Ovis aries: one gene and its partners. Each later gene encodes a partner of the first gene's protein in a complex. Links are inferred from orthologs where the notes say so. Each region holds a gene or a part of one and is shown in the gene's direction. Other genes may lie near its edges. The genes, in order: GTF2A1, GTF2E2, POLR2B, GTF2F1, GTF2H5 and GTF2F2.

Region 1 (4,333 bases):
TGAGAACCATTGACCTTAAACAATGAAGCGAGGTTAAATGACTTGCCTCTGCTACATCTTTATCTGTGATCTTAGAACTGGAACCCAAGTCTTCAGTTTCCAGATCAGTGTTCTTCATAGAGTGAAAGTGTAGCATAGTACTAAGAGCAGAACCAGAAAGCCTAGGTTCATGTTTTGTCTCCTAGTGACTTGTGAGCTTTGCAGGTTACTAAATCTCCATACCTCAAGCAAATTAATAACATATAACTTTTGGCCTGGAATCTGAAATATAGATAATAGCAAGTACTTGATAAATGTAGCAATTGTAATTTTTAAAAATCTGTTTTTCTTTAGAAATTTGAATGGTAAAATGAAAATTTAGTGGATCCGTACACTCACTAAACATTCCTCTTGTGCTTTGGTAGTTTTTACCTTTATGTGAGATACGGTCATCTGAGGGTGATTCTTTCCCATTGGGGCCTGTTTCTGTGTATCAAATGATAAATCTGAGCGATTTGATCCTCAAACTAGTTCTAATGTGTAGTTTTTCTTTTGTCTTAGGTCTTGGCCCCTCTTCCTGGAGGGATTTCACCACAAACAGGTGTCATCATCCAGCCTCAGCAAATCTTATTTACAGGAAATAAGACTCAAGTTATACCTACAACAGTGGCAGCACCTACACCAGCACAAGCGCAGATAACTGCCACTGGCCAGCAGCAGCCACAGGCCCAGCCTGCTCAACAGCAAGCTCCGTTGGTGTTGCAAGTTGATGGAACTGGGGATACGTCATCTGAAGAAGATGAAGATGAAGAAGAAGACTATGATGATGATGAGGAGGAAGACAAAGAGAAAGATGGAGCTGAAGATGGGCAAGTAGAAGAGGTAAGTTTTAGTAAAAGACTTGAAATGAGGACCTGCTCAGTTGTTTCTTCCTTCACTTGGTGCCAAATTGATGAATTCTGTGTTTTTAGAGGCTGTTAGGGTACTATACAATGTAAGATTTTAAATAATTTAAAAATCACTATACAGTGTAATATTTTAAATAATGTTAAACGTTTAACATTAACATAACATAAGTTAATAATGTTAAACTTTAATAAGATTTTTAGATTGTTCTGGATATATTTATAAAATATTTCTGTAGCTGGTAACAAAAAGCAAACATACACCAAATTAGGTTTTACTTATAAATGTGATGACAGTGCAAGTAATTCTGATTCTCTGACTTAATACATTCATCATGATGTGGCTTAAGGGTAAGACATTGGTAGAACCAGATAGATGTGGTTCATCTTTTCCTTCAGTAATTTAAAACAGCATTTGGGAAGAGAAGACACTTCAGAGTTACAATGTTCGATATTCCATACGAGTTCCTTAGGTGACCTCATCTGCTCTTATTGTCTGTCTGCAGTTTCACACACCATTTTTTCTTACTCATCTTTTGTTGTGTATTTCTAGAAGTATGTAAATATATCTTTGTTTTCCCCAGTGTTCCAGCTTAGGTACTTATAGTCAAGATGGTGTTGGTCTTAACCACGGTTTTCACTGTTACTGCCTTTTGCAACAACCTAAAATGTGATTTCTGGTTTATCTTCTTTCTTCTTTTAAATTATCTAAGTAATGTTTTTTAAAGAATACTATTTTATTAAATATTGAATAGATAAAACAAAAAGTATTTTATGGTGTAAACAACCCAGTGTCTGCATCTAGTTAAAAAAAAAAAAAATCCCCTTACCAAACATAAAGTCCCCTGAGTGCCCCTCCCTAATCCTCATCGTCTTCCTTCTACCATCCAAGTATCCTTGCTCATAATTTGTGTGTTCGTCACTACCTTGCCTTTATATTTTACCATAAGTATTTATATTCCTAAGGAGCATATTGTTAAGTTTTTCATGCCTGTTTAGAAGTGGAATAATTGTGTATTCTTCTGCAAGTTGATTTTTTTCCCAAGATGGTGTTCTTGAGGTCCATCTAAGTCGTTGCATATACCTATAATTATTTTTACTGTTAAATGTTACAAGTTTATCCATTTTTGTGATACATTGGGCATTAGGGTTGTTTTCACTTGTTAACTGTACAACTATAAAATATCTGGAATATGTCTTCTAGGGACACATTCAAGTGCTATACCTAAAGAGTGAATTGCTGAATCATAAGGCATGCATATCTTCAAGTTACAATAAAATGCCACAGTGTTGTACTAATTACACTTCTGGCATTCAGTATATAATGATGCATGGCTCTGTGTATGTCTTCACCAATACTTGACATTGTCAGGCTTCGTAATTTTTTTTTGGCCAATTTGGTAGGCAGAAAATTTTTCATTTTGATTTTAATTTTTATTTCCTTGATTAATGATGAGCAGCAAAAGGCTTCTGCTACACTACTTTTTTTTCAATTTTCTTTTTTGTTATAAACATCATAGCAAATTTTAAAAAGCTCTTTGAAAAGAGAAACATATAGTTGTTGATTTCCTGAGTGTACTTAACGCCTTACCTAATCCTTCCCTGTACACAGTGGGATGATCAAAAGAAATAGGATTTTCAGGTGGGGGTGCCGGCGGGCATGGTCATCTTTATTTACTGGGTAGCCTCTTGACTCTTTCATGTGTTCTTTGTACGCAATCAAATCAAATGTGAAAAAATAGCAGTTTTTCTTGCCTACTTGGCTAAGTTCTATAATATTGGATAGAAATGGTGATGGTGGTGATAATTGCACATACTAAGTGCAAATTGAACACCTTCGAATGGTTAAAAATGGTGAAATTTACCTCAGTAAACTTTTTTACATTTATGTTGGTGATAACTATTTATTACAGAATATATACATATACATGTGTGTAAATAGGTACAGGCCTAGAGACTTAAAATCTTTTCTTTTTTTTTAATTGGACTATAGTTGCTTTACAATGTTTTGTTTCTCCTATACAACAAAGTGAATCAGCTATATATATACACATATCACCTCTTTTTTTTCATTTCCTTCCCATTTAGGTTACCATAGATCATTGAGTCCTGTGTTATATAGTAGGTTGTCATTAGTTATCTGTATTATACATAAGAGTGTATATATGCCAATCCCAGTCTGTCCCACCCCTTTGGATCCATACACTTGTTTTCTGTGTCTGTGTCTCTGTTTCTGCTTCACAGGTAAGGTCATCTGTACCATTTCATATACAGTATTTGTTTTGATTATTTTTCTTTCCATTTTTATTTTGCCCTAGCTTCTTTTTCTTCATTAATTAGAAATTAGAGTTGTATATTTTATTGTCTGTCACAACTGAGGTCAAGGTTAACTTGACTGGTCATTTTATGCTCTAGCTAGATCTTGGCATTTAATTCTCTTCATTACTGACATCAAGATTCCCCCCGCCCCCTTCTTTTAAAATGTGGTTGCCTTAGTTATGCTTTAAGCCTCCACCAGTAGACATACTAATTTTTATTCCTAGTCTTTAATGTCAAGACTAGCTAGGCTGCCAACCTTTTTTATATCCTTGTTTTCCTCTTCCAACTCCACCAGTGTTTTCTTTTTACACAGCTGCTTCTGGTGGTACACAATACCATTATCTCATTAAATCTTCATATTTTCCTAGGTCCACTTCTAGACAAATAGTTACTGGAAAGAGTTATCTTCTTGTGCTATCCTGAAAGAATAAAGGAAGTAAAGTAACATCTTTTCAGTCATATAAATTATATAGCTTAATTATTTTAATTACTATATTTAATTTCTTGCTGGAATTTCAGTGACACTGGCAGAATCTTAACGCAGCCAGTTAACAACATGTTCATGGTATATGTGGATCTGTCTGGCCCTTGGTTCTCAAAGAACTTCAAGGTCACTGTGTTTGTTTTCAGTGAATATTAGAAGGACCTTTTTTTAGTAATACATGAAATATAAATAAGTGAACTCTCTTTTTTCATTTTTAGGAACCCCTCAATAGTGAAGATGATGTGAGTGATGAGGAAGGTCAGGAACTCTTTGATACAGAAAATGTTGTTGTGTGCCAGTATGATAAGGTAAGGATTTAATCAGTTCTTTACTGTCTGAGCACCAGGGAAGCCAGTCATCAGGTTACTAATATTTTTGCTATTGTAATTTCTTCCTTAAACCATCCTGTCTGCCGTGTTTAAGCATTTGGTTAGCTGATTGGTGCCTCTTAGAAACTTTAGCTGTGTGAATGAAAGCAGTGTTATACTTTAGTAGATTATTTTAATGGAGTGAGAAATTAATTTGTATAACTTTCTAGTTGAAAAATAAGTTATGAATGAATTCACAAAAAGTATGTTGTTTTCCATTTAGACTGTGTCTCCCAACTTGTTAGCAAAGTAAAGCCACTTTATGGTTATCTTTTAAC
Region 2 (4,984 bases), on another chromosome or scaffold:
CTGTCCATCTGGTAAATCTAGTTCTGTCAAAGCATGATTCTCTAATTGTTAAAATCCTGTCTCAAGTGATTAGTAAGGAGCATGTATGTATCCAAGTTTTATTCAGTTCGGTTCAGTCGCTCAGTCGTGTGTGACTCTTTGCGACCCCATGAATTGTAGCTCGCCAGGCCTCCATGTCCATCACCAACTCCCGGAGTTCACTCAAACTCATGTCCATCGAGTCGGTGATGCCAAGTTTTATTAAACCCTAGCAAAAAACGAAGACCACTCAAATGAGAAGAGAGATCACATCCCTTGCTACAATGTTAAGCAAGAGAGTCAGCCACCATCTCTTGCATTTAGCAGAGATTCAAAGGCAATCGTGGAGCAGGGAAGCTTTATAGAGGGGAAAAAAAGCGGCGGGGGGAGCGCTTCTAGTATGCGCTGGAAGGGGAACTTGGAGGAAGGAGGTCTGAAACAGGGAAGTTGGCAGCCTTTGAGTAAATCTTGACCATTCTGAGCTGATTGCTGCAGAGGTTGTGGCTTGGTTTCTCAAGTGGGCCAGAGTTTTATCAGCATATATGGTCTAGCCACTGTTCATTTATAGGAATTCTCTCATTCATTAAGAAGGAAGCTAGCAGAATGGTAGAATCGATTCCATGAGTAAATTGAGACTTACTGGTAAATTGGTACTTACATAATCACTGGGGAAGGGATGAAATAAAAATAAATTTATACAAAACTGGCTTATGTTTCTCAGACAACGTAATTTTAAGGTTTGGAATTTTTTTTTCAGTGTATGACTGCTCCTCCTCATTACACCTTATCAATTTTTCCTGGGTTATAAAACCTTTGAGTCCCAATAAATTGTTATCCAAATGAAGTTATGTTTCCCGAGGGTGTCAAATGAATATCAAGTGTGTTTATTACAAAATCCTATAGAATGAAATCAATTTTAAAAAGCCATACAGGGACTTCCCTGGTTGCCTTCCAATGAGGGGGCCGTGGGTTCCATCCCTGGTAGGGGAACTAAGATCCCACAGGCTGCTGGGCAACTAACCCCTTGCACCACAACTAGAGCAGGAGCCTGCCTGTCACAATTAGGCCTCAGCATAGCCAAAATAAATAAAATAAAAACGTAAAAAAATACCCACACAACCATCTTTTGGCTTTATTCCCAAGTTTTGATTAAAAATTTTATGTATTATCTCATTCAGTCTTCACAACAATCCAATGAAAGTAACCCATTGTGGTAGTTCAATTATTATTCCCATTTCCCAGATGTGAAAACCAAAACACAAGTAACTTGAGTAACCAGCATTAAGTAAAGGACAGCAATAAAATAGTAGAGCACTGGCCATGCGGTCGCTTCAGGCTGCAGGAGTGAGGCAAGGCCAGCGCCACAATTTGGCATGGTCCAATACATTGCAGGCTGTGGACAAGGGCAGTTGTCTTTTTCGCCGCTTTATTTTTATTTTTACCCCTTTACGCTGCTGCTGAATCCCAAATCCTTTTCTAAGAGAGTTTACAGGGATGGGGGTTCGGAGTTCAGAAACCGGACTTTGCTTCAGAATTTGCCATTGCTGGCGGTGCTGTCTCGAGCCAGTCATTTATTTAGTTTCACTGCGTCTCCTGTTTCAGTTGTGTAGGGAGAGAGCTGGAACAATGTTCTCCGAATTTTAGGTGATGGTGAATAGCATTTAAAGTCGCACCATTTTAGCTGCGGCTACTCAACTCCAGGAGTTGGTGATGGACAGGGAGGCCTGGCGTGCTGCAGTCCATGGGGTCGCGCAGAGTCGGATACGGCTGAGGGACTGAACTGAACTGACTCAACTCCTAATTACGTCCCGCCCCCAATCGTCCTTCCGTTGTCATGGAGATCGGGACGCCCAAGTTGGTAGATTTCCCTCCCGCGATACCTGGGCGGAGCACGGGATGACGCATGCGCGTTCTTGGCGGCCGAGGCGCCGCGGTGCCTACCGGGACTGAGCTCCCGGCCACCCGATCAGGAAGTGGCGGGCGGAGCCGGGGGAAGAGTCGCCGCCTCAGCCGCCGCTTCAGCAGCAGCCGCCAGTGCGAAGACCCCCGAGCTGGCGGGGCAGCGCTGGGCATGCGTGCCGGGCGGCGGAGGCGCTGACAACGAGCCCGAAGCGGCAGCCACGCGGGCGTGGGCGGCTGGTCCAGGCGGAGGCTCTGGGAGGCGGCGGCGGGGCGCGTGGGGCGGCCCTCCTGGCTCAGGTAGGAGCTGCGGACGCCGGGTTTGGGGCGCGGAGCCCCAGCCTGTTGTTCTTCGGGGCCTCCTCCCATTCCCGGGGGCACGCGGCCTCCCATCCCGCGGGAAGCTGGGGCTGCGGTTCCCTGCCCGAAACGCTTAACCCGGTTACAGCCTCTCGGGAGCATTGTTTCTGAGGCCGGAGGTTCAGTGAGCAAAGTTTTGGGTTGGAAAGAGGGGAAATTCGAATTGGAGCGCTGGTCGTGCCTTTCCTGAGCCCCCAAACTTACATTAGCTGTAGCCGCACGGACCAGGTGTGTGGAGTTTGAGGAACCGCGGCGCCCAGCCAAGTAAAGGCTGTGATTTAGGCGCTCCTTCACGGATTTTTTTTTTTTTTTCCAGCTTCCTCTTGGAAACCTAGTTTGGAATGATTCCTAACCTTGAGTTATAATAGTTTTCTGCAGAGTCTAAAGACATTTTCCAAAACAAGTCGCTGCGGTACTTTTTTCACTTCCACTTCTACATTGCTGTCTTTTCAGGGTTAAGCAGTCTCTTATTCTCAGCTTGCCGGCTATTCAAAGCACTATTGGCCCCTGCGAGGCTCAGGCAGGCAAATGAAGCAAGAGAGAAAGAGTTGAAAGGTTGAAAGAAATCAAATGATAAACTGGATAAATGATAAAGTCAAATGATAATATGGGAGGAATGTGGGCTTTGCAGTTAAAAGATTTTCACTGAACTTTTGGCTTCTCAGTGAGGGAACACGTGAACTCACTGAGTTGTGGCAGTGATGTGTGTTTTAATGTAAAACGGGGAAGTTGATGTGTCCTGTTTACTACACAGGACATATGAAACTCTACAGATGCGGAGTAGTCTCATGAGAAAAAGGTGGAAAAGTTAGAGCATGTGATGGTGAAAGACATTAAACCTTCTGTTCTAGGGACCATTGAACTTCACCCATACCACGCAGGTCGCTTTTGTTTTGGAGGCTTTTACCAGTTTTAGGTCTGGAATAAGGAGCACCTGGTTTAGGAATCAATCTCCTGGCGTCCAGGCTGTGTACTTTCAGCTGTGTGATCTTAACTCTGTGTGATAGGATACATACCTGATACCTCATAGAGTTGTGAGGATCAAATGCTGTTAACATCCAGGTCTTTGTAAGGCTTTTATTATGTTAATAATAAATTACATAATAAACAACATAGATTTTATCTATGTTAAAATCGTGATTATAAAAGCCTGGGTTAATAATCTGTCTTTACAAAGTGAAATCAGCAGATGTTTGTTGTTTTAGGCTTGTTCCCCCCCCCTTCCCCCACCACATCATTGGGGAATTCTCCTTTCTTGTTCTAATACACTTTCCCTCCCCCAAGACTGTCTTCTGCCTTCCTCACCTGAGTATAACACTGGGTTATTTCTTTTCAGATCCAAATAATAGTTCTGAAATAACACGTTGGTCTAGCTTTACTACTTAAAAAATCACTTTCACAAACATGTTCTCATTTTATTCTTACAGTTGGGCTAGATGTAGACAGCATTGGTAGTATCCTCATTTTACTTATGATGAAATTGGATTTAGAGAAGTCTAGTGGATTCCCTAGGTCATATTACTGTTAGGGGTCAGAATTTAGGGAGGTCTTAGATTCGAGGTCCAGGGTCAGTGATTCTTCTTTCCTGAACTAAAGTTTGACAAGTTTATTTCTTATCAGTGCTTTTATAAAATTTTATTGAAGTATAGTTAATTTACAGTGTTTCTAATTTCTGCTGTATAGCAGAGTGGCTTAGTTAAACATATACTCTTTGTCATATTCTTTTCCATTATGGTTTATCACAGGATATTGGACATAGTTCCCTGTATTGTACAGTAGGACCTGTTTATCCATTCTGTATAATAGTTTGCATTGGCTAATCCCAAGCTCCCAACCCTTCTCTTCTCTCCTCCCCATCTTGCTTGACAACCACAAGCTTGTTCTCTACAATTGTGAGTCTGTTTTTGTTTTGTAGATGTGTTCCTTTATGTCATGTTTTAGATTCCACAAGTAATGAAATCATATGCTATTTGTCTCTTTCAGACTTAGTGTGATAATCTCTAGGTCCATCCATATTGTGCATATAGACTATTTCATTCTTTTTCATGACTGAGTGATATTCAGTGCTTACATTTTTAACTTTTAGCGTGCTAAGTCACGTTTTATTTATTCATTGCTTTTTAAGCAAGTTGTTGAGTGCTTTCACATTCTCAAATGTAAGCTGCTTACATGCAGGCAAGGATTTATCTTCCAAAACTTTCCAAAGGCTGCAGTGCGGTACAGTGCCCCGCAAACAGAAGACATTTAATAAAGGCTTGTAAAACTTATTAACAGAGAGGCTAGGGCAATTTAAAGATGTTCTTCTGTTTGTTAGTCATTTACAAAATACTTATTGAGCTATCCCATGCCGGAAAGCTTCCAAAGTCTGAGAGTCTCTCTTCTCTCACAGAAGGGTGTGTGGGGTCTGGCTACTTGTCGCTCAAAAGCTAGTAAGCAGGCCAGGTTGGTGGAAAGGAAAGTTTGCTTATTTGAAATAAAGCAGGCTGGGAGAGGGCATATGTCTGTCCAAAGGCCGATTCACTGTGCCGCCCCTCCCTGCCTCCCTCTCCCCCGCCATTGGTGGTGGGGCGAGAGCTTTTATAGATAGAAGAAGGGGGCTGTTGCAGAAACAGCACAGTCAGCTCTGACACTTATCTTCACTTTGGTCATCAGTGGTCTGACCAGCATCACCTTGGCTGCTTTAGGTACAGTTAATCTTCAGTTCCAG
Region 3 (5,122 bases), on another chromosome or scaffold:
AGGTCCACCATGTACAGTACAAGAGCTGGCTCGGGCCGCCGCAGCGCGGCGCTCACCAGCTCCAGGAACTGTCCCTGGCTCACCTGAAGGCGCAGGGCGCGCCGGTGATGAACCAGCAGCCAGCAGCGCTGGCATACAGTCCGCTCCAGCCCCCCTTCCTCCGCCAACGCGCTGTTAAACTTCTCGCTGGGTAGGTAGCCGGGAACGCCGGGGTCCTGGCAGTGCAGCTCCGCACCGCACCCGGAACAGTTCTGGCCGCTGGGCGGCACCGTCGGGTCCGGGTGCCCCACCACTTGGTGTACCCGCCGGCCGGCGCCTAACTTCTGCTGCCGCCTCACCTCTCGCTGCTGCTCTATCCGTCTCTTCTCCTCCTCCTGCCGCTGCTGCAGCTCCCGCAGCTGGTCCTGGAGGGTCGCTTCCGACTCTGAATCCAGGACGTACTCAGGAAACAGAAAACTCTCCTCTAGGTCAGCCCCTCCTGGGTTACCCCCAGTCGCCGTCGCGCCACGAGGAAGGCCACGTCCCAGGCCCGCTGGGTGTCGGGAGGAGTAATCGGTAGCGCATCTCCTCTCGAGGAGCGTCTCCCGGACGCCGTTACGCGCTACAGCGGGAGTGGGTCCCCTCAAGAAGCCGCAGAGAAGCCTGCGAGCTAGGCGCGCGGGCAGCATGAGAAATGCAGGTGTGGGCAAAGGGGCGGAGCCACCTTTTCGCTCGTGCACTGTGGCCCCAGATGAATGTAAAACAGCAGAGACAAGCCGGGAGTACCTGAGAGCCGTCATTCGTCAGCGTGAAGCTCCTCCTTCCACGTCTAATCTCGTGAGTTCTCGCGGTGAAGGCTCTGTGGCCCGGAAACCTACTTAAAGTGATACCCGGGACTTAGATTAGAAAGTGAAAGCGAAGTCTGTCGCTCAGTCGTGTCCGACTCTTTGCGACCCCGTGGCCTGTAGCCTACCAGGCTTTTCCGTCCATGGGATTCTCCAGGCAAGAATACTGGAGTGGGTTACCCTTTCCTTCTCCAGGGGATCTCGACCCAGGGATCGACCCCGGGTCTCCCGCATTGGAGGCAGACGCTTTAACCTTTGAGCCACCAGGGAAGCCCTAGTCGGTCGAATAGGCTAGTTAGTGAGGGTTTATCAACTTTCAGGCTTGTTTAACGCGCTGTCCCTGGCACCACCTGCTGTTAAAGGAATCACATTGTTAGGAGCTACGTATTTGTCTTTAGAACTGGAAAATTAAAAATCGAATGTCGCAGACTTACAGCCACAATTAAAACCTTTTATTAATACATCTTGGCTTTTTTTCGGGTATCATCATTCGTGCAACAGCATTAAAATCACATTTCTTAAACATTTAAAAAAATATGACGCATAATTGATGTACACAAATCCTTGTTAAAAGTTTCGGGTTTTAAAATCTTTGGAATTGAAAAAAATAGAGCACGGCGACAATTAAACCTTTTATTATTAAATCTTTCTTTCTTTTTTTGGTGCCATTATTTGTGCAACAACACTAGAAAACAAAGCTTCATTGGCAGGAGCCAACTCGGAGACCGTAAGCAACGGTCCTCCCACTCCAAGAACAGGAAACCTCAACTCACAAACCGCGCCTGTGCAATGCTAACCCTTAACCACGCTTTTTCCCCCCTTGCCCTTCGCGCAGGCGCAGACCTTAACTGGAGCCTTTGTGGGCGGGGCTTCGTGTGGGACGCAGAGTATTCTGGGAACGCCGGAGACGGAAATTACTTCGCCTCACTTTGCTGTGGTCGGTGGCAGCTACGCGTCTTTCTGTGTGTGATTTCTAGATTGACGGGTTCGGGAACCGTTTGCCAAGATGTACGACGCGGACGAGGGTAGGTGACCAGTCAGGGCACTCCTCGGCGACACATTTACGGGGGGGAAACGTGGGGAGTTGGACGAATGAAGGATTTACGGCCCCCTCCCCGGCCTCCCCCACCACGTCCCCAGTCGTTTCCCTACATCCCCAGGCCGGATCCGAGATTTTGAGAGGTGGAGGGTGCGGGGAACGTAGCCTTTATGATCTCGGTCAGGGGGACTCTGGTTCTCTTGGTTGAATCTGACACTCCCTTCCCGTATTGAAAGTAGCCTGAAGACCCATAGGACAGGTATAGTTGTTTTGATATCGTCTGAAGCAGAGCTCCTTTTCAAATTTACGTAAAGGCCAGAGCTAGTGGATTTGTTGAATAGTTTTTGAGCGTCGGCCTTTGCCAAACATGGTGCTGCTGCTGCTGCTGCTGCTAAATCGCTTCAGTCGTGTCCGACTGTGCGACCGCATAGACGGCAGCAGGTTCTGGTAATACCCCGCGGACAAAGAATATAGTTTCTCTCTCTTTCTGTGTGTGTGTGTGTGCCAAACTTGATCTAGTTTGGCATTCCTTCATGTTGCTATATGCAGTTCTCGATGGTATGCATTTTACTGAACAGGGACGCTATGTCTTTTTTTCTTTTTACATGTAGAAATCTTAGTCATGAGTAGTGTATTTTCATTGTATATTTTTAATGCTCCCTCTTCTATTCTCCACAACTCCTTTTTCAGAGTTCATTTTCTTCTAGCTCCCAACCTCCTGGTTGCCCCTCACTCTTCCGTTCCTTCACTTCATGGAGAAAATAGAAGCAGAAACTTAAGGTCTGCTGTTTAAACTTGTGTCCCATTTTTATCTTGCATCTAGAAATTTATTAGTATCATTGTATTCTTTTTCTTCTATTTGCGAAAAAAATTCCCTAAAAAATCTTAGCTTAATTTTTTAGTAGGTGATATATTCTTGTTTCTCACAAGCTAGAAGACATAAAAAATGTTAAAAGGGGTAAATGATCAATAAATATAAAACTAACTTCATTATTACGGCTCCTTTTCCAGCTTTATTAGCTTCTCCTGTGTGCCTGTGATAATAACATCTAGTGTGTCATCAAAACTAGAAATCTCTAAGCCGATTTAGATACCTTAATTTTTTTTACCCCGCCGGGACAAGGAGGAACAGGGCCTGACCCTACAGGTCCTTGATGCCTCATCCCTTAGTTTCAACACCAGGCTGAAGTGGTTTGCCATATGTTTCGCCAGTGGCATCTTCTTCATCCTTGGAACTGGATTGCTGTGTCTCCCTGAAGGCATAAAGCTTTTTGCAGCGTTTTATACCTTTGGAAATACTGCTGCCTTAGCCATTACATGCTTTTTAATGGGACACGTGAAACAACTGAAGAAAATGTTTGAAACAATGAGATTGCTTGCAACAGTTATGCTTTTGTGTTTCGTGCTCACCCTGTGCGCTGCTCTTTGGACCCTGTGCACTGCTCTTTGGTGGCATGAGAAGGGACTGGCTGTATTATTCTGCAGATTGCAGTTCCTTTCAATGACCTGGTATAGTCTGTCATACATTCCATATGCAAGGGATGCAGTAATTAAATGCTGTTCTTCTCTCCTAAGCTGAAAACTCTTTGAAAAGAAGGAGACTGTTTGAAAAGACCTTTTGAAAGTCGATGTTCTGTTTTTGGTGAAGTGGCCTTTTCCTGTTACAGTGATCACTCCAGAACAACTGCACTGACCATCTAAGACCATTTTGTATACTGATAAAGTTACATACCCATTAAACTGTTAAGTGCTTGTGACAGTAAATTCATTATGTGCCATTAGTATGCTCTTTCAGAGACAAGGATATTTTAATCATTGCCAATTGCAAATGATTTTTAGCCAATTTTTAAATCTTTTCTAAACAGCATTTGAAATGTAAATATTTAAGGGTAAACCTTCACTGCAAGATATAATCAACTTTTTTGGTGGCTTTTACATGTTTACATTAAAAAATATCTTTTTAAAGTAAAAATATTTTATTTAAAAAATAAAAATATCTTTTTAAAATAAAAACTTTAAATGTGAAAGTTTTACTTTAAGCATTGCTTTATTGTATGTAACAAAAATAATGTAGAAATCTTCATAATTTCATAATAAACCCACACTTGGAAAAAAATTAAAAAAAAGACGAGACTAATATTAGGACCAGTGCACACTGATTTTTCAAATGCCCCATTGCACACATGACTATTGCTGTATGACTACCCCAAAATTTGGGTGCTTAGAAATTATTTAACATGTTCATGAATTAAGTGGGCTAGGAATTTGGGCAGAGCATAATAGGAATGGCTTGACTGTTGACTGATGCCAGTGGTTGGCAGACACAAAGGCTGAATATTGACAGCTGGGGATTGTGATCTGGAGTGTTTACTCACACTCTGCGTTCAGTGCATCTGGCATCTAGCCTAGGAAAATTCAAGGACTAGGATTGATGAATGGAACATCTCTGAGTGGCTTCTCTGTTTAGGCTTTCTCACCTAAGTATACCAGCCTTAAAGTAATAGGGCTTCTTAGTCACAGGTCCAAATGTAAGTATTTCAGCAAACAAGGTGGAATTGGGTTGCTTTTCCTGATCTAAAGCTTCTAAAATTGTGTAACATTGGTTCAACTGTATTCTCTTAGTTATGGGAGATTCAAAAACCCATCTAGAATCAAGGGGAAGAAGCATAGACCAACCTCCCCCACCCTTATATCTTGATGGTAGGAGTGTTAAAATCACTTTATGTAAAATGGAAGATACATGTGGCCATCTTTGGAAAATATAGGCTGTCATCCCTGTCCATGTATGAAATCTTGCTGTAATAGACACTGCACCTTAATGTATTGCCCAGCTATTGGAATCTTTTGCTGACTCCTGCCTCTTAGCCTAATCTCTGACTTTGGATCAGAGGACTGTGAGCTAGCTGTTAGTTATTATAATATATTTAGCTGTTAATAAGAGTTACATGAGCTTTCTGGAGAGGATGGAACAGTTATAAATTCCTATGACTATGACTTGTACTGAACCTTTCTCATGAGACCTCTTTGTGAATTGGGAGAATATCTATGTGACATAGACTCGTGTGTACGTACATACATACATTATTTCATTACAATTCAAGTAATGATTGAGATTTTACAGAAACGGGGTAAAGCAGTTGTTTTTTATTTAGTATAAATGTGTTTCTGCTACCTCACATGATAGGAGTGAGATGTGAACTAGTAGTATTTATTGCAAGTGAGAATGATTTTTTTTTTTTGTAGATATGCAATATGATGA
Region 4 (5,070 bases), on another chromosome or scaffold:
TTCTGGCCCCACCAGGTGCCCCGTTGGGCCTCCTGCTGCAGCAGCTGGCCCAGCCCCATGTGGCAGAAGCCATACTTGGTTGCCATGTATTTGCACTGTGTCCCTTTTCCGCAGCCTGGACCGCCCATCACAAAGACGATCAGGGGGACTTGAGGATGTCTGCGTGCCTGAGGAAGAGGGACAGGGGAGAGGGGTTGGTGCCTGTAGGGGTCAGTTGGTGCTGAGGGGATTGTGTCCACAGTTACAATGGGTTACGCTGGACACATGTCTGCTGGAAGATCTATTTCTGCCCTAGGGTGGTATCTGGGGGTGTGTGTCCACACCCAGTGATATATCCAGGCACGGCACCCATTAATACTGCTATAGGTCATGTGGATGAGGTGTGAACCCAAGCAGGTCAGGCCCTTTGTGTGCAGCCTCTCCTCGAAGAATCACCCCTTTTACAGTTGAGGAAACTGAGGCTCTGAGACGGACAGGGACTTGTCCACCCCTCCAGTCTCATCCCATACCACCCTCCCCTTTCTTTACTGTTTCAGCCCAGTGGCCTCCTTTCAGACCCTTGTACTCATCACCTCCCTGTTGCTCCTCCCCGACCCCCACCCCTGCTGGAAGTCCATACTGCAGTCCCTTCAGGTTGCAGCTCACCCTTCAGCTAATCTCTGTCTAAAGAGCCTCCCACCCCATTGTTCCCAGTCTCAAAACCCTAATTCCCCACCACCCCACAAAAAGAATTCCATTTCCTCCAGTAATGGTCACTATCAGTAATGAGTCTGCCCGTTTACTTGTTCTTGTTTGTCTCCCCAGTCAGACTATGTACTACAAGAACACAGAATCTGTTTGTCTTCCTTGTCCCTGTATTTCTAGTACTTGGCATAGTTTCTGACATAATCGTAGCAAGTGAGGAGTAGATAAATGTCCATAACTATCAGAAACATCTATGGAGACCTGTAGTTTATAGTGCTGGCTTCCTACATTCCCCACGGACTTCCCAGAATCCAGCGCAGCAGGTGCTAAAAGTGAAAGTCAGTCAGTCAGTCAGTCAGGCGTGTCCGACTCTTTGTGACCCATGGAATTCTCCAGGCCAGAATACTGGAGTGGGTAGCCTTTCACTTCTCCAGGGGACCTTTCCAACCCAAGGATCAAACCCAGGTCTCCCGCATTGCAGGTGGATTCCTTACCAGCTGAGCCACAAGGGAAGCCCAGCAGGTGCTAACATGGATCACTGAATACCTGACCCTGAGCATGCGAAGTTGTGTTACAATAAGGTAGGGGGCCGGGAGGAAGGGCGTGTGCACACCTGGACTTGAGGAGGGGTTACCTGCATTCTCCCGCCCTCCATAACCTCCTTCCCTTCTCCCGAGTAAACCAGCCACCCCCGCGATGTTTCCCTTCTTCTGGGGCCTCAGGGGCCTGCCTATTTGGGGCAGTTTGGACTTGCACAAACCCAACCCGCCTGAGGCCCGTGGGGTGAGCGCACTCCATCCCCTACACAGGCCCTGACCTCTCCTAGTTCGGTTCAACGTCACAAGGGCCCCTGGCCCGATTATTTGGCGAGATGATAGGGCTACCCCCGGGGGCTGTGGGGAGAAATGAACCCCAAAGAGGCTCAGGTAGAGCCGCAGCAGTCGGCTGCCAAGGAGGCCTCGGTTGCTGTGGTAACGCGACCTCCCCGGACTCACTTCCGCAGTAAAGTAGCGCATGCGCAAATGGCCCGACAGGCCGCGAGGGTGGCGGGTTTCCTCCCTTCCTTCCCAAGATACCCCGCGGTCCTGAGATGTAATGTCACTGGGGGCGTCTTCACGTCACCTGTTTGGGTTATCCGCGTGATGAGGTTATCGGCCTGATGGGATTATCGTGCTATACAAACTGCGGGCCGCCAGAGCGCTAGATACAGAAGGCGCTACCTTCAGTTGGGAGTAGGTTGCTTCCCCTAGGCCTGCGGGAGGATTTCGATTCCGGTTTAGGCGGCTGCGCAGGCGCAGACTTGGCACAGGCGGTCTCAAGCCAATCGCCGACCCAGTGCCGCCTCCGGATAGCTTTCCCCAGGATCGGTTGTATCCCGGGCCGGAGACCGGACACCTCGAGGGCGGCCTCCGAGGGACGCGCACCCGGAGGGAGGCGTAAAGAAAGGTTCTGATCAGACCCGGGTCAATCGCCCATCGCCCATGGCGGCCCTCGTAAGTGTGCGGCCAGGCGGTTCGGCTGCGGTCCCGGTGGCCTCTGTAGCCTCTCACTCACTGTCCTGCTTTCTCTCCCCTCAGGGCCCCAGCAGCCAGAATGTCACTGAGTATGTCGTCCGAGTTCCCAAGTAAGTCCCTGACCCTACCAACCCCCTTTCCCTCCAGAAAAGGATTAAAATCTCGAGGTTCCAGGAGTGTCTGATTCTTCTTCCAGGGCTGGGGTTGAGCCGAGGCCTCTGGGGCATCACTGTTTTTTTAACAGAGTGAATGAATAAGTACATTAATATACAGTAACACGCAGCCTGCCTGCCTAGGATTCCCTCAGCCAGGAATGGCAACAGTGACTCTACTGGGTGGATTCTTTTTGATCCTGCGAAATTCCGTTACAGTATTTTCCTCCTTCAGGAGGCAGTCCCTGCCTGTCCACCCCGCTGCCCAGGGCTGAGTTCCCAATTATCCCATCTTGAGTTCCCAGAAATATTTGTCCTTAACTGATCTCTGGGGTTTTTTTCATGGGTCCCCAGCGTTGCCCAGCACAAAGAACTGAGCCTGGGAGGGTTTGCTGAATTAATGAATGATTAACTGAGCACTGCCTCTTTTTGCCCATACCAGAAATACCACCAAAAAATACAATATCATGGCTTTCAATGCAGCCGATAAAGTCAACCTCACTACTTGGAATCAGGTAAGTCCGAGTTCTGAGGCTGTGAGAAAACCTGACCCTGGATTTGATGTAATAGTTGCTTGGTTGTGATAGTAACTAAGGCTTAGGATCCTCCCCTCTCCCCACGTGCAGATAAATGATAACTAAGGCCCAGGCTGAGCCTCTGGGCACCCCTGAGGACAAGATATGTGTGGCCTTGCAGGAGGCTTTCTTCTGAAATTTGTGCCCACTGATGGGCATTCTGGGTCGAGATCTATCTGGGCAAGAGAGGAGGGGGCTGCCTCCTAGAGGTGACTCAGAGCCCCTATTGTTGGAGACTCCAGAGCGGTCTTTAGAAACTGTTTTAGTTGCAGGCTGCTCTAGCAGAATTCCAGAGACTGGGTGGTTTGTAAACAACAGACATTTATTTCCCACAGTTCTGGAGGCTGGAAGTCCAAGATCAGGGCGCCAGCAGATCTGGTGTCCTGGTTCATAGCTGGTGCCTTTGCACTGTACTCTCACCTGGGTACACAGCACTCTGGAATCCTTTGTTAAAGAGGGCACTTATCTCACTCCTAATAGGCTGCAGCCTCACAACCTAATCATCATCTATCAGAGGCCCCGCCCCCAAATACCATCACACCGGAAATTAGGTTATATGCATTTGGGGAGAATTCCCTGTAGATACAGCGGTTAGGACTCCAGCTAGGACTCTAGCCCATTCACTGCTGGGGGCCTAGGTTCCATCCCTGGTGGGGGAACTAAGATTCCAGAAGTCCGAGATCACAGCCAAAAAGAATGCATTTTGGAGGCATGCAAACATTCATCCATAGCAGAGGCTATTAAAGGGTTACAAACAGTCTGTAAAGAGATTTGTCCACTGTGGGGTCGAGGGCAAGTGAAGGGAGAACAGGGCGGAGGTGAAGGCTCTGGACCAGGTGAGCCTGTGATGGGGTTTGCAGCAAACAGGTTACGAGAAGTTATTGGACTCTGGGGTGTCTTTTTTTCTTTTTTTCTTTTTTAATTTTTCATTTGGAAATAACTTCAAACTTTCAAAAAGCTGCAAAAACAGACATCGCAGCGGGCTTTAGACAGATCCCTTCGCCCACATTCACAGAGCCTCTTTTCGCCAAGCGGGAAGTTGGCTCAGAGGGTCCACCGCTCAGCCTGCGGGGAGGAAGGGGTGTTGTTGGATGGGGAGCAGGCTGCCTGATGAGAAGTCTCGCCTTCCGTCTCCCAGGCCCGGCTGGAACGAGACCTGAGCAACAAGAAGATTTACCAAGAGGAGGAGATGCCGGAGTCGGGCGCCGGCAGCGAGTTCAACCGCAAGCTCCGGGAGGAGGCGCGGAGGAAGAAGTACGGCATTGTCCTCAAGGAGTTCCGGCCGGAGGACCAGCCCTGGCTGCTGCGGGTCAACGGTAAATCAGGCCGAAAGTAAGTGCCCCTTCCCGCCACTCCCCGGTACCCTTGGCCGAACTTCTAGGTCCTGCAGCTGGGGGTGACAGCTCATCCACCCATGAAGGGGTTTTCTTGGGGAAGATGAGCCAAGGGGTTGCTCGAGTGTGTGCTAGGGATGCAGGAATCCCGGCCTGCCGTCCTCCTGCGCCCAGCCAAGGACTGCCCAGAGCTGAGGGTTGAGAACCATGGGGGAGACAGAGATTAAGGGAAATGAAGGGCACTCTGGTTGAACAGCGAGCACGAAGGCGTGAAACATCGAGCCCCAGGGACTGTCACAGCGCACGACAGTGGCAGAGTGGGTGGACTGAGAGGGCTGAGAGTGCCAGGGCACAGCGGGACTGTGGGTAGGCTGGGGCCCAGGGCAGCCTGAAGGCTGTAGGTGGGGAAGGGGCACTCTGTAAGACTGCCTGCACATGGTGGGGCAGAAAAGGGGAAGGATGGAGGCCCGGAGGGAGCTGGGCTGGCAGTGGTTCAAGGAAGATTCCGGAGGGGAATCCAGAGGGGTCTGACACTAGAGCACTGTGCTCTTTAGGGCCCATCTAACAGGTCCTTCCAGAAAGGACCATGTCGTGTATAGTGCACAGGAGCCCTAAGTCTGCTCTGTGAGGGCAGGAAGCCCACCTTTTCCAGATGTGGGAATCCAGGCTCAGGCAGTCAGCGGGCCAGCCTTCCAGCCTCAGGTTTTGCTAGGAGAACCCAGATGGCCCTGGAGAGAGGGATGCAGGGGGTGTTGTCTGGATGTGGCACTAGTCCTTCTTCCCCACACAGACTGTGACCTTGAACTCCCTG
Region 5 (4,772 bases), on another chromosome or scaffold:
AATAAAAAAAAAATGGCGATTTTAAATCTAGATGATTTGGAAAAACACGGAAAGAAAAGCAGATTTTGAAGTGATGGTGAAGTGAGGTCTAATTCAGGTTGGGAGGCATTCTTTAGAGTTCTCACAGGTCATTAACGTGCAGGCATCTGACATCTGGCGCACAAGAATAGAGGTTTGACGGGATGGAACCGATGAGACAGTGAAAGAGGAAAATGCATTCAAGACGAAAAAAAACAATAAATTTAGGAACAACTATTGTTGGGGCAGATTAGAGAGAGGGAGGGAACGAGCATGCGCAACAGCATGGAAACCAACGGGAAAGATTTGAAGCAAAGAAAGAGGGAAATAAATGGAAGAGCTAGATTCCTAAATCACATGCACACACAATTGGAGAAGTACAATTTCACCTAAGGAACAGAAAGCAAGAAACCTCATTTCTCGACTGGTAAAAAAAACAATTAGAGCTCCAATACATTGTTGTTCAGTAGCTAAGTGGAGACCAACTCTTTGCAACCCTGTGGACTGCAGCATGCCAGGCTCTTTCTGTCTTCCCCTATCTCCCCGAGTTTGCTCAAGTCATATCCATTAGGTTGCGTGATGCTATCTAACCATCTCATCCTCTGTTTCCCTCCTCCTCCTGCCCCGTCTTTCCCAGCATCAAGATCTTTTCCAATGAGTGGACTCTTCGCATCAGGTGGCCAGAGTATTAGACTACAGATCCGAATCTGGAGAAGGAAGTAATTTTGGAACTCTCTGGGTCTTTCCTCCGGGCTCGGAGGACCCATCAGCATTCAATCTTATTCATCCTCTCGCGTCACAGCTATAGAAGCTGTGGTCTGAAAGGTTCCAATCTGAACGGCGGAGACTTGTTTCCTCCTCATTTTCACCATCCTTCCTGTGGCCGACGGTACCAGCAGGTGCTCTCTGGGCCTGGGACTGGAATTAAGAGGAGGGTGGCGACCGGGAAAGCAGAGCCGGGCTGCCGAGGCGGGGAAACAGGCCCTCACCTCACGCCCAGCGCCGGGTCAGCGGGTCAGCCAGGGGCCGCGCGCCCTCACTGGGGCGCCCCGACCGCGCCGAGTCGCCGCTCGCCCCACGGCCCGCAGTGCCCGGTTTCGCCTGCATCCGCCCCCCACCCACGAACCCAGCCCTACCTTCCTTACCTGCCGGCGCGCGGAGGCGGCCACAACCCCCTGGCCGTTCACGCAGGACCGAGTTCGCTGGGAGCCCGCCCCGGCCCACTGCTCCCAGTCCCCGCCCCTCTGCTCCCAGTCCCCGCCCCTCCACCGGCGGCGGGCGGCACGTGACCCCGCCCTCGTCTCGCCCCGCCCCCGCTATAAACCCCGCCCACAGCCCGCCTCCTCGCCGGGGCGCCCCACCCTCGAGGCCGTCGCTGTCGCGATGACGTAGAAGGCGCATGCGTACTCTGTTGTCGGTGCCTAGGCGCTGTGGGATCTGTGGGTGGAAAGGTACGTGGCGTCGGCCCTCGGAGCCGTAGGGGAGCCTGGCGTGCGTGGAAGTTCTGTGGGTTTCCAAGAAAAAAGGAGGGGAGGGGAAAGTCCTAGAAACCTGTCTTTCAGGTTGCGGGGATACAGGGTTCCGTCCTGTCTCTCTGACGAGGCCGGGCGGCTGCCCCGCGGCAGTTGAACTGTGCATTTCTTTTGCGGAGGGCGGGGGGGCGGGGGGGGGGCATTGCCCAGCGCCGAGGTGTGGAAGTTTAATAAGAGTTAATTTGGCGTGCGCTGAATGGGTTCCTTACCTTCGAGCGCACGTCACTGGGGTACATATTTTATTTGGCAATATAACACAAGATCTGGAGACTTGGATTGTTCTTTTTCTGCTGGTAGCTGCGACTTAAATCTTTTTGCTCCATCTCATCTGTAAAACGAGATGGTCGGAGCCCCCATATAATTTTTAAGGCCTCTTGCGAAGCTACCATTCTGTGACTCCTATCTCCCAGAATTTTACCTTTTATCGTATTTCTACGTGGGAAAAAGAAATATTTTAAATAATGTACTTGTTCTAAACCTGGATTGGCCACATTGCTGTGGAGTTAGGCCCCATTAGGCTTTCATTAGGAGTGACTGGGGTAGGATTTGTTTGCAAATAAGATTTGTGCATTGTTACTATCCCAAATAGACTCGTTTGAATTTTGTTAAAAGATCAGAATATCTGTATGTTTTCCTAATGTTAGCTCTATGTTTTTAATAGACTTCTATGTTTAGTCTTGGCGTTTAATTTTTTGCCTCTGTTCAGAAGTAAATCACCAAAGGATATTGAAGTTAATGCTTTTCTATTTTGTCACCTTAGGGTTTTGTTACCATTTTTAGGGTCATCAGCACCTTCTGACTGGGAAAAGATGGTCAACGTCTTGAAAGGAGTGCTTATAGAATGGTTAGTAGTTTTGATACTTATTAAGTTTTAAATCTGCACATTGAGTCTTTTTGTTTGTTTTGCACATTGAATCTTGATTTGCATGTGTACTGTTTCCAAAATCCATTTTGTTTTGTTCTTAAGATCTGAATGAATCAAGTCTTTCAGCTTTCTCAACTTCATTTTTCTTGTTTCTTAACTGGTGGGACAAATGTTGTTGCTAAGTTTCTTCCTAGTGCCAGTTTTCAGCATCTCTGTTGAATTGATGTCATTGGCGTTATTTCCAACAAGTTTTGGTCAGTGGCAGGCAGCATATATGTGAAATTAACCCTCTTTAGGGGAACAGTGCTTGTATTTTCAAGTCATCAGTGATTAACTAGAATTTTAGGGCCTGCCAAAGTCACACAAACTTTGGTCTTTAAAAAAGAGAAAAAAACAGGAGAGCCAGTTGAAGGTTTCTTAAACTAGGCACACATTCCAAAGGAGAAACTAAAAGCTGTGGGCAGAGTTAGCTCCCGAGAGCTAAGGTGGGGCTCAATTATCCCCAGTTTGAAAATCTGAGCTGCTGGCCCAGTCTTGCTCAGTCTCTGCTTTTTTTTTTTTGCCTCACCAAATAGTTCTGTTTCACCTGGAAATCCTGCCCTGATTGTCTGAAAATACTACTGTCTACATTTCTTTACCTCTAATGTGAGCTATCATATGGGTGATGATACTGTCTCTGTGGTGGCAATGTTCAGGGAGGAACAAGACCAAACCCTCGCATACTCTGACATTTCAAGCAGCACCATCCAGTAGAAATACAGCATGAGCCACATATTTAAAGTTTCTGGTAGCCACACTGAAAAGTAAAATGAAACAGGTGAAATTTATTTAACTCAGTATACCTGAAGTATTTCACCAGGTAAAAAATCCTCAAAGTTCAGATTAACACTTCAGAATCATAGTAAGTCTTTTTCCATACTATAGAGCTTCAAAATCCACTGTCTTCTGTACTCCTACAGCATAGTCACAGGCTAGCCATATTTCAGGTGCTCAGTAGTGATGTGTGACTAGTGGGCTGCTTTATGGATAGTGCAGATATAGCTTGAATGGAGAGACCACCAAACACAATTAAGAAAACAGCCAGTGAAGTGGGAGGGAACCTAAGGGAATGTTTCACTAAAGCAAGTAGGCTGTGTTAAGTGGTGGTAAGAGGTTGGATAAGATGAAGACACTGGAGGTCATTGATTTTTTTTATTTTTTTTAAATCAGAGCTCCAATAATTTTGTGGAAAGGTGGGATAGATACTTCAGAAAGGGGAAGGGAGGAAAGGAAGTGGAAACTGTCTTGACAGTGAACAAGTGAAGTCGCTTAGTCATGTCTGACTCTCTGCAACCCCATGGACTGCAGCACCCCAGGCTCTCCCCTCCATGGGATTTCCCAGGCGAGAATGCTGGAGTGGGTTGCCATTTCCTTCGCCAGGGGATCTTCCTGACCCAGGGATTGAAACCAGTTCTCCCGCATTGCAGGCAGATTTTTTACCATCTGTGCCACCTGGGAAGCAAAGGGATAGAGAAATGGGTTGGTCACAGAGGAAGGATTTGTTAAGATACTCTGCTGCTTGTTACTTTCACTATTTTAACGTGAGAGACTAGAACGTTTGGTGATGGAAGTAAACGCTAGAAATGAGAGAAACGTTCACTTGGGAAAGCCAAGGGACGGATCTAGATTCCAGAATTCCAAGCATACTGTGCTCTTGTCTTTTGGAAAACACTTCTGAGCTACTTTTTGTTTTTTATTTTTCTTATTACTTTGTCATAGCTAATAGAAACATTTTCCTGGTTGGTCTTTTAATGTTATTTTTAATTTATTTTTATTTTTTTTTAAATTTTTATTTTTACTTTATTTTACTTTACAATACTGGATTGGGTTTGTGTACACCCGTGGCGGATTCATGTCAGTATATGGTAATGTTATTTTTTTAACACAGAGGATCCACACACACATTGTCAGCTGTTTTTCCCTTTTATTTTTTCCAATTCTTCCAAATTTAATCTTCCTTCTGGATTTGATTGGTATTCACCTCTCTCCTAGGGTCTTCATATTTTCCTTTTGATTGATATTTTGTATTTCATTCACCTGGAATTTATTGAGAGAAAGGGCATATTAAATTAGCTGTCTTTTTTTTTTTTTTTTTTTGGTCAAATAGCTGAATAATTGTCCAATAACATTTATTTCCTTCCCTCATGATATGTGATGGCTCTTTTATCACGTCGTCTTTCTGTCCTTGCTACTGTCCTTGCTTTCTGTCCTTCCCTAATCCCATGCCACATCCATTTTTTGTCATTCTTACCTATTCAGGAATAACCTGGGAATAATTTAGTTTGTTTCCAAAATAGTCCTTTTGGAATGATGATTGG
Region 6 (5,054 bases), on another chromosome or scaffold:
GCTGTCCCGCAGCATGTGGAATCTTCCCAGACTAGGGAACGAACCTATGGCCCCTTGCATGGGCAGGCAGATTCGTTTCATATCCACTGCACCACCAGGGAAGTCCAATTTATTCCTTCTATTTGACCAAAGCTTAAAGCAGCTCTCTTTATCCACTTGTCCTTTTTATATTTTTAAGGCCATTTCTTGAGCCTTAAAGAACACACAAGACTGTGATCTTCCTCTTCAACATGTTCCTGATCTCCTGTTTTTCCTGTTAGGTTTCCCCAGCTGATCTCAGAGCCCTGACAGCTTTTCCTAGCCCTAGGCTGAATAGACATGGAATTTCTTCAATTCTGTGTATGGTTCTGATGCAGGATTCAATACGTCACTTGCCATTCTTACAATATCTTACTGTTTGTTTCTTTTCATGCAAATGTTCATTCAGCCAAAGCCTACTGAAATCTGATGTGGTGTCAGCTTTGTGCCAGATGCTTTGATTAAACAACAAGAAAACCCACCATTTCTGCCTAGGAAGAGCGCATAGTCTAGAAAGCAAAGGCAGTATGTAAACGAGTGCATTATAGCTCATCGTGCTAAGTAACGCACACTGTGACGGGAAGAAAAAATTATCTTCCTCTGGGGGAGTTGATAGAAGGTCTCATAGGAAGAGACATTTCCATTAATCTTGAAACCTAAGTAGGTGTCTGCCAATCAGAAGGCAGTACGGGAAGAATAGGGCATCTGAGTAAAGGGAATCCAGTGTGCAGAGGCTCTGAATAATTGAGGAACATTCTGATACGTTCCGGGAGGTCTGACGGGTTAGATGGGCTTAGATGCGTGGTGCATTGAGTACACCACACTTTGATGAGGTCAAACTGTGAGGGCCTATGTGGAGAGGACTGAATTTTATTCTAGAGGCAAGAAGAGAGAGGGGAGACTCTTTAAGCAGGGGAGTTGAACAATCAGAGTTTTCTGTTACATGTCTATTGTCATTGACGTCATGAAACGGCTCCAAACTTGCGGACACAGCCGGGAAAGGAGAGGGCGCGACAGACTGCCAGCGTACCACTGACATGTATACACCACCATGTGTAAAAAGCGATTAATAGCTCGTGGGTAGTTGCTGTAGCGCACAGGGAGCTCAGGTCGGGGTTCTCTGACAACCTAGAGGGGTGGGATAGAGGTGGGGTTGGAGGGGGGCTCAAGACGGAGGGGACTTATGTACACTTACAGCTGATTCATGTTGTCGTAGAGCAGAAACTAACATAACATTGTAAAGCGCTTATACTCCAATTAAAAATAAATTAAAAACAATAGCAAACAAAAAACAAAGGGCTCTGGGTTTTGGAGTCTTAAAGGGGTGCGCCCTACTCGTTTAACTGAAGGTGCTCAGGGTAGCCTTTCAATAAAGACCACTCTGCTAATTCATTTTATTCATTTCTCCTACCTGTCCTCCAAATGCTGTCTTTCTCTCCTTGGCCTGGATTGGACATACACTGACAGCCTTTGTCTCTTTAAACCCCGTTTTTCTGTTTTGACACTTTCTTCTGTTACTCTGACCTGGTCTTTATATGTACTGCTGATGTTTGCGCCCATCCCAACCTCGTTTTCAATTACTCAGACACAGTCCCTGGAAGTAGCCACGCCCACTCAAGAAGGTGCACGCCGATGAAGTTTGTCCTCAGTAGCGCGCCGTACTGACGGCCGCAGTGCGCAGGCGCAGTTCCCCGCTGCCGGCCGTGTGTGTTCTTCTTTCCCAGGGCTCCCGGCATCCCGGAAGTTGGACCGCGGGCTCTTCACAGTCAACCTCCGGCCAGGGTTCGCCGTGTGCTTCGCTCCCTCGTCCCGCAGTCACCCGCTCCCGGGGCCGCTGCTCTAAGTCCGCAGGTCTCCGCCGGCGACAGACCCATGGCCGAGCGCGGAGAACTCGACCTGACTGGCGCCAAACAGAACACCGGAGTGTGGCTGGTCAAGGTAAGGTTTGCGTGGCTCTCGCTTTTAAAGTAGTTTAAGTGACTTGAGGGGAGAAGGAACTGGCAACCCACTCCAGTACTCTTGCCTGGGAAATTCCATGGACGGAGGAGCCTGGTGGGCTACAGTCCATGGGGTCTCAAAGGGTCGGATACGACTGAGCGACTTCACTTTCTTTCTATAGTTCCTTTGGGAGAAGGAAGTGGCAACCCACTGCGGTGTTCTTGCCTGGAGAACCCCATGGACAGAGGGGCCTGGTGGGCTGCAGTCTATGGGGTTATAAAGAGTCGGACACGACTGAGCAACTAACATACACGCGCGCGCACACACACGCACACACACACACGTAACTTGAGACCGTCCCACTTTGTGCACCTTTTAAAACTCATTAGGGCTCTCTCGTTTAGAACTTCGCTTACCTTGAGAGGCAGGGTTGGTTGGTAGGCTTGTTTGCAGACGAGGACATTAGTTCAGGGACACCCAGTGTGTTTTAGCCAACTAAGAGTCTGAACGTGCCTGGAATGGATCTCCTTATCCCACGACCTGGTTTTTCTGGGCTCCTGTCTTGATGGCCCCCCAGTTTGAGCATTTTATCCCAGGCTGAAGAATTTCTTCATCTCCACTTGCTGAAACTGATTTCAGTCATCAATCTCTATAAGAAAGTTGAGCGTTTGCTTTCTGGGTAGTTTTCTGAGCCAGAAAGTAGAACTGTTCTCTGAGTACCCTGGTGGCTCAGATGGTAAAGCATCTGCCTGCAATTCAGGAGACCCAGGTTCGATCCCTGGGTGGGGAAGATCCCCTGGAGAAGGGAATGGCAGCCCACTTCAGTATCCTTGCCTGGAAAATCCCTTTTGAAGGAGCCTGATAAGTTACAGTCCATGGGGTCCCAAAGAGTTGGACAGGACTAAGTGACTTCACTTTCACTCGTAAGGTGTTCTTTTAGGTTGATGGGTCTTATGGAGTTCCCAGGAGAGGTGAGAGTGCTCTGAACTCAGGGAAGGAGAGACTGTGGACTGGAGTGTTCTTTTAGAGTTCGATTGTGTCTCAGGTGAAACTGTCAGTAATTTTTTTTTTTTTTGGTAAAGGCAGCATTTTGATTAACCCTTAGTAAGTACTTACTGAGCTTCCCTTGTGGCTCAGCTGGTAAGGAATCCACTTGCAATGTGGGAGACCTAGGTTCGATCCCTGGGTTGGGAAGATCCCCTGGAGGAGGGAAAGGCTACCCACTCCGGTATTCTGGCCTAGAGAATTCCATGGACTGTATAGTCCATGGGGTCGCAAAGAGTCAGACACTGAGCAACCTTCACTTCTTCACTTAGTGAGTACACTATTTATCCCTTACTTTTTCAAATTGGGGACTGTTGTTTCTTAGGAAGTTTTCATAAGACATGTGTATATTCAAAATGTGATTATGATAGTCTTGAAAACTCAAGTAAAACATAGAGACCTTTATTTGTTAGATTTTTGGAAAGCTTTTATCACACGTCTGAGTGTTTATCAGTTAAATCTGAGAGGCCCTTCTAGTCTTCCTCTCTGATGTAGCTCCCTTATGATTCAGTTCGGTCGCTCAGTTGTGTCTGACTCTGCGACCCCATGAACTGCAGCACACCAGGCTTCTTTGTCCATCACCGATTCCCGGAGCTTACTCAAACTCATGTTCATTGAGTCGGTGATGCCATCCAACCATCTCATCTTCTGTAGTCCCCTGCTCCTGCCCTTATGATTATTCACTAGCATGTTGAGCCTGTATTAACATTCTTCAAAGCACATGCACAGTCATATTTCGCGAGAGTAGGCGTCTTGCCTGTCACCCAGAACTGTGTTTGGTGTAAGGTAAATAGCTCAGATAATGTGATGTATGCATGCATGAATGAATGACTGAATGAACTCTTATTCTTCAACCCTAGCCTTAATCTCTGGTGCTGCTTTGACTTATCACAGTGATATCAGTGTGATTTAAAATGATGGAGTAACCAAGTATCTCTCTCCTCCTGCATGCTAGATGGAGAGAGATCATTAGGGAGGAGATCTCCTTTGCAGATGGAAAGAGCTTGAAAAGGTGGCGAGAGCTTGAGGTGATGTGTTTCTGCTTGGAGCGCAGTAGATGCTCAATAAATGTTTGCCTTACAGAGGTTTGGATGGGGGGCCATAGTATCTCCGTAGCATACCATGGAGAGTGGTTCTGAAATGCAGGAGTGAGAATGCACAGTAATGTGGTGTGGGCTGGAAAACAAAGAGGACATCATGCCTGGAGTAGCGGATTGGGACCGTATACTGACATCATCACGTTGTGAAGTGGGAATGTTTTAACACTGCTGCTGCTGCTGCTAAGTCACTTCAGTCATGTCCGACTCTTCGTGACCCCATAGACGGCAGCCCACCAGGCTCCCCCGTCCCAGGGATTCTCCAGACAAGAACACTGGAGTGGGTTGCCATTTCCTTCTCTAATGCATGAAAGTGAAAAGTGAAAGTGAAGTCGCTCAGTCATGTCCGACTGTTTGAGACCCCATGGACTGCAGCCCACCAGGCTCCCCCGTCCATGGGATTTTTCAGGCAAGAGTACTGGAGTGGGGTGCCATTGCCTTCTCCAGTTTTAACTCTAGTCTACAGGAAATGAGGAGACTCTTGGAGGGTTTTGAGTAAGGCAGGGATACAAATGATTCTTTAAGCGGGGTGGGGCAGGGGGGAAGCTTGAAGAGAAGATAACCAGAGTCAAAATTAGGAAATTATCACAGGATCCTAGACATTTGATAGTGAAGTCTCAGGAGTTAGGGAAACTTTTTCAGCAAAAGTTGTCAGGATGTGGTGACTGACTAAATGAGGATGTAAGAGAAAGTTACAAATCTAAACTAAAGAAATTTTAGTGTTCTCTCTTATATGGCCATTTGAATATATTTTATTGCTTTAAAAAGAGGTCTTACTAATGATAGTTCAAATTAGAATTTTTCTGTTCAAATTAGAATTTGAATAGAACTGCATACAATTTTAAATCTTTTCGGTAGACGTTCATATTTCTTATTATAAATCATGCCTTGAGCTCTGATCTTTGAGGATCATTTGTTGCAAAATATGTGAGTTCCTACAGTGTCGCAAGTTTATGG

The links.
Region 2: GTF2A1 (region 1) and GTF2E2 share a complex: the UniProt entries of both Homo sapiens proteins name them as parts of the TBP-based Pol II pre-initiation complex. The link is inferred for Ovis aries from reciprocal best matches to the Homo sapiens genes GTF2A1 and GTF2E2.
Region 3: GTF2A1 (region 1) and POLR2B share a complex: the UniProt entries of both Homo sapiens proteins name them as parts of the TBP-based Pol II pre-initiation complex. The link is inferred for Ovis aries from reciprocal best matches to the Homo sapiens genes GTF2A1 and POLR2B.
Region 4: GTF2A1 (region 1) and GTF2F1 share a complex: the UniProt entries of both Homo sapiens proteins name them as parts of the TBP-based Pol II pre-initiation complex. The link is inferred for Ovis aries from reciprocal best matches to the Homo sapiens genes GTF2A1 and GTF2F1.
Region 5: GTF2A1 (region 1) and GTF2H5 share a complex: the UniProt entries of both Homo sapiens proteins name them as parts of the TBP-based Pol II pre-initiation complex. The link is inferred for Ovis aries from reciprocal best matches to the Homo sapiens genes GTF2A1 and GTF2H5.
Region 6: GTF2A1 (region 1) and GTF2F2 share a complex: the UniProt entries of both Homo sapiens proteins name them as parts of the TBP-based Pol II pre-initiation complex. The link is inferred for Ovis aries from reciprocal best matches to the Homo sapiens genes GTF2A1 and GTF2F2.

Annotation. Positions count from the first base shown.
Region 1 is NC_056060.1:90,666,695-90,671,027, reverse strand, and holds part of GTF2A1 (transcription initiation factor IIA subunit 1), read left to right. Parts: intron 1-540; coding exon 541-861; intron 862-3,905; coding exon 3,906-3,995; intron 3,996-4,333. UniProt on the Homo sapiens protein: TFIIA is a component of the transcription machinery of RNA polymerase II and plays an important role in transcriptional activation. TFIIA in a complex with TBP mediates transcriptional activity.
Region 2 is NC_056079.1:25,926,444-25,931,427, reverse strand, and holds the start of GTF2E2 (transcription initiation factor IIE subunit beta), read left to right. Parts: upstream 1-1,986; 5' UTR 1,987-2,217; intron 2,218-4,984. UniProt on the Homo sapiens protein: Recruits TFIIH to the initiation complex and stimulates the RNA polymerase II C-terminal domain kinase and DNA-dependent ATPase activities of TFIIH. Both TFIIH and TFIIE are required for promoter clearance by RNA polymerase.
Region 3 is NC_056059.1:73,095,866-73,100,987, forward strand, and holds the start of POLR2B (DNA-directed RNA polymerase II subunit RPB2), read left to right. Parts: upstream 1-1,740; 5' UTR 1,741-1,830; coding exon 1,831-1,849; intron 1,850-2,965; coding exon of another isoform or gene 2,966-3,442; exon of another isoform or gene 3,443-3,546; intron 3,547-5,106; coding exon 5,107-5,122. Other genes in the region: nitric oxide-associated protein 1, read right to left, coding at 1-779. UniProt on the Homo sapiens protein: Catalytic core component of RNA polymerase II (Pol II), a DNA-dependent RNA polymerase which synthesizes mRNA precursors and many functional non-coding RNAs using the four ribonucleoside triphosphates as substrates.
Region 4 is NC_056058.1:15,923,368-15,928,437, forward strand, and holds the start of GTF2F1 (general transcription factor IIF subunit 1), read left to right. Parts: upstream 1-1,753; 5' UTR 1,754-2,165; coding exon 2,166-2,177; intron 2,178-2,261; coding exon 2,262-2,308; intron 2,309-2,792; coding exon 2,793-2,865; intron 2,866-4,063; coding exon 4,064-4,257; intron 4,258-5,070. UniProt on the Homo sapiens protein: TFIIF is a general transcription initiation factor that binds to RNA polymerase II and helps to recruit it to the initiation complex in collaboration with TFIIB. It promotes transcription elongation.
Region 5 is NC_056061.1:82,453,200-82,457,971, forward strand, and holds the start of GTF2H5 (general transcription factor IIH subunit 5), read left to right. Parts: upstream 1-1,408; 5' UTR 1,409-1,417; coding exon 1,418-1,469; intron 1,470-2,310; exon of another isoform or gene 2,311-2,330; coding exon 2,331-2,394; intron 2,395-4,772. UniProt on the Homo sapiens protein: Component of the general transcription and DNA repair factor IIH (TFIIH) core complex, which is involved in general and transcription-coupled nucleotide excision repair (NER) of damaged DNA and, when complexed to CAK, in RNA transcription by RNA polymerase II.
Region 6 is NC_056063.1:15,656,716-15,661,769, forward strand, and holds the start of GTF2F2 (general transcription factor IIF subunit 2), read left to right. Parts: upstream 1-1,757; 5' UTR 1,758-1,890; coding exon 1,891-1,956; intron 1,957-5,054. UniProt on the Homo sapiens protein: TFIIF is a general transcription initiation factor that binds to RNA polymerase II and helps to recruit it to the initiation complex in collaboration with TFIIB.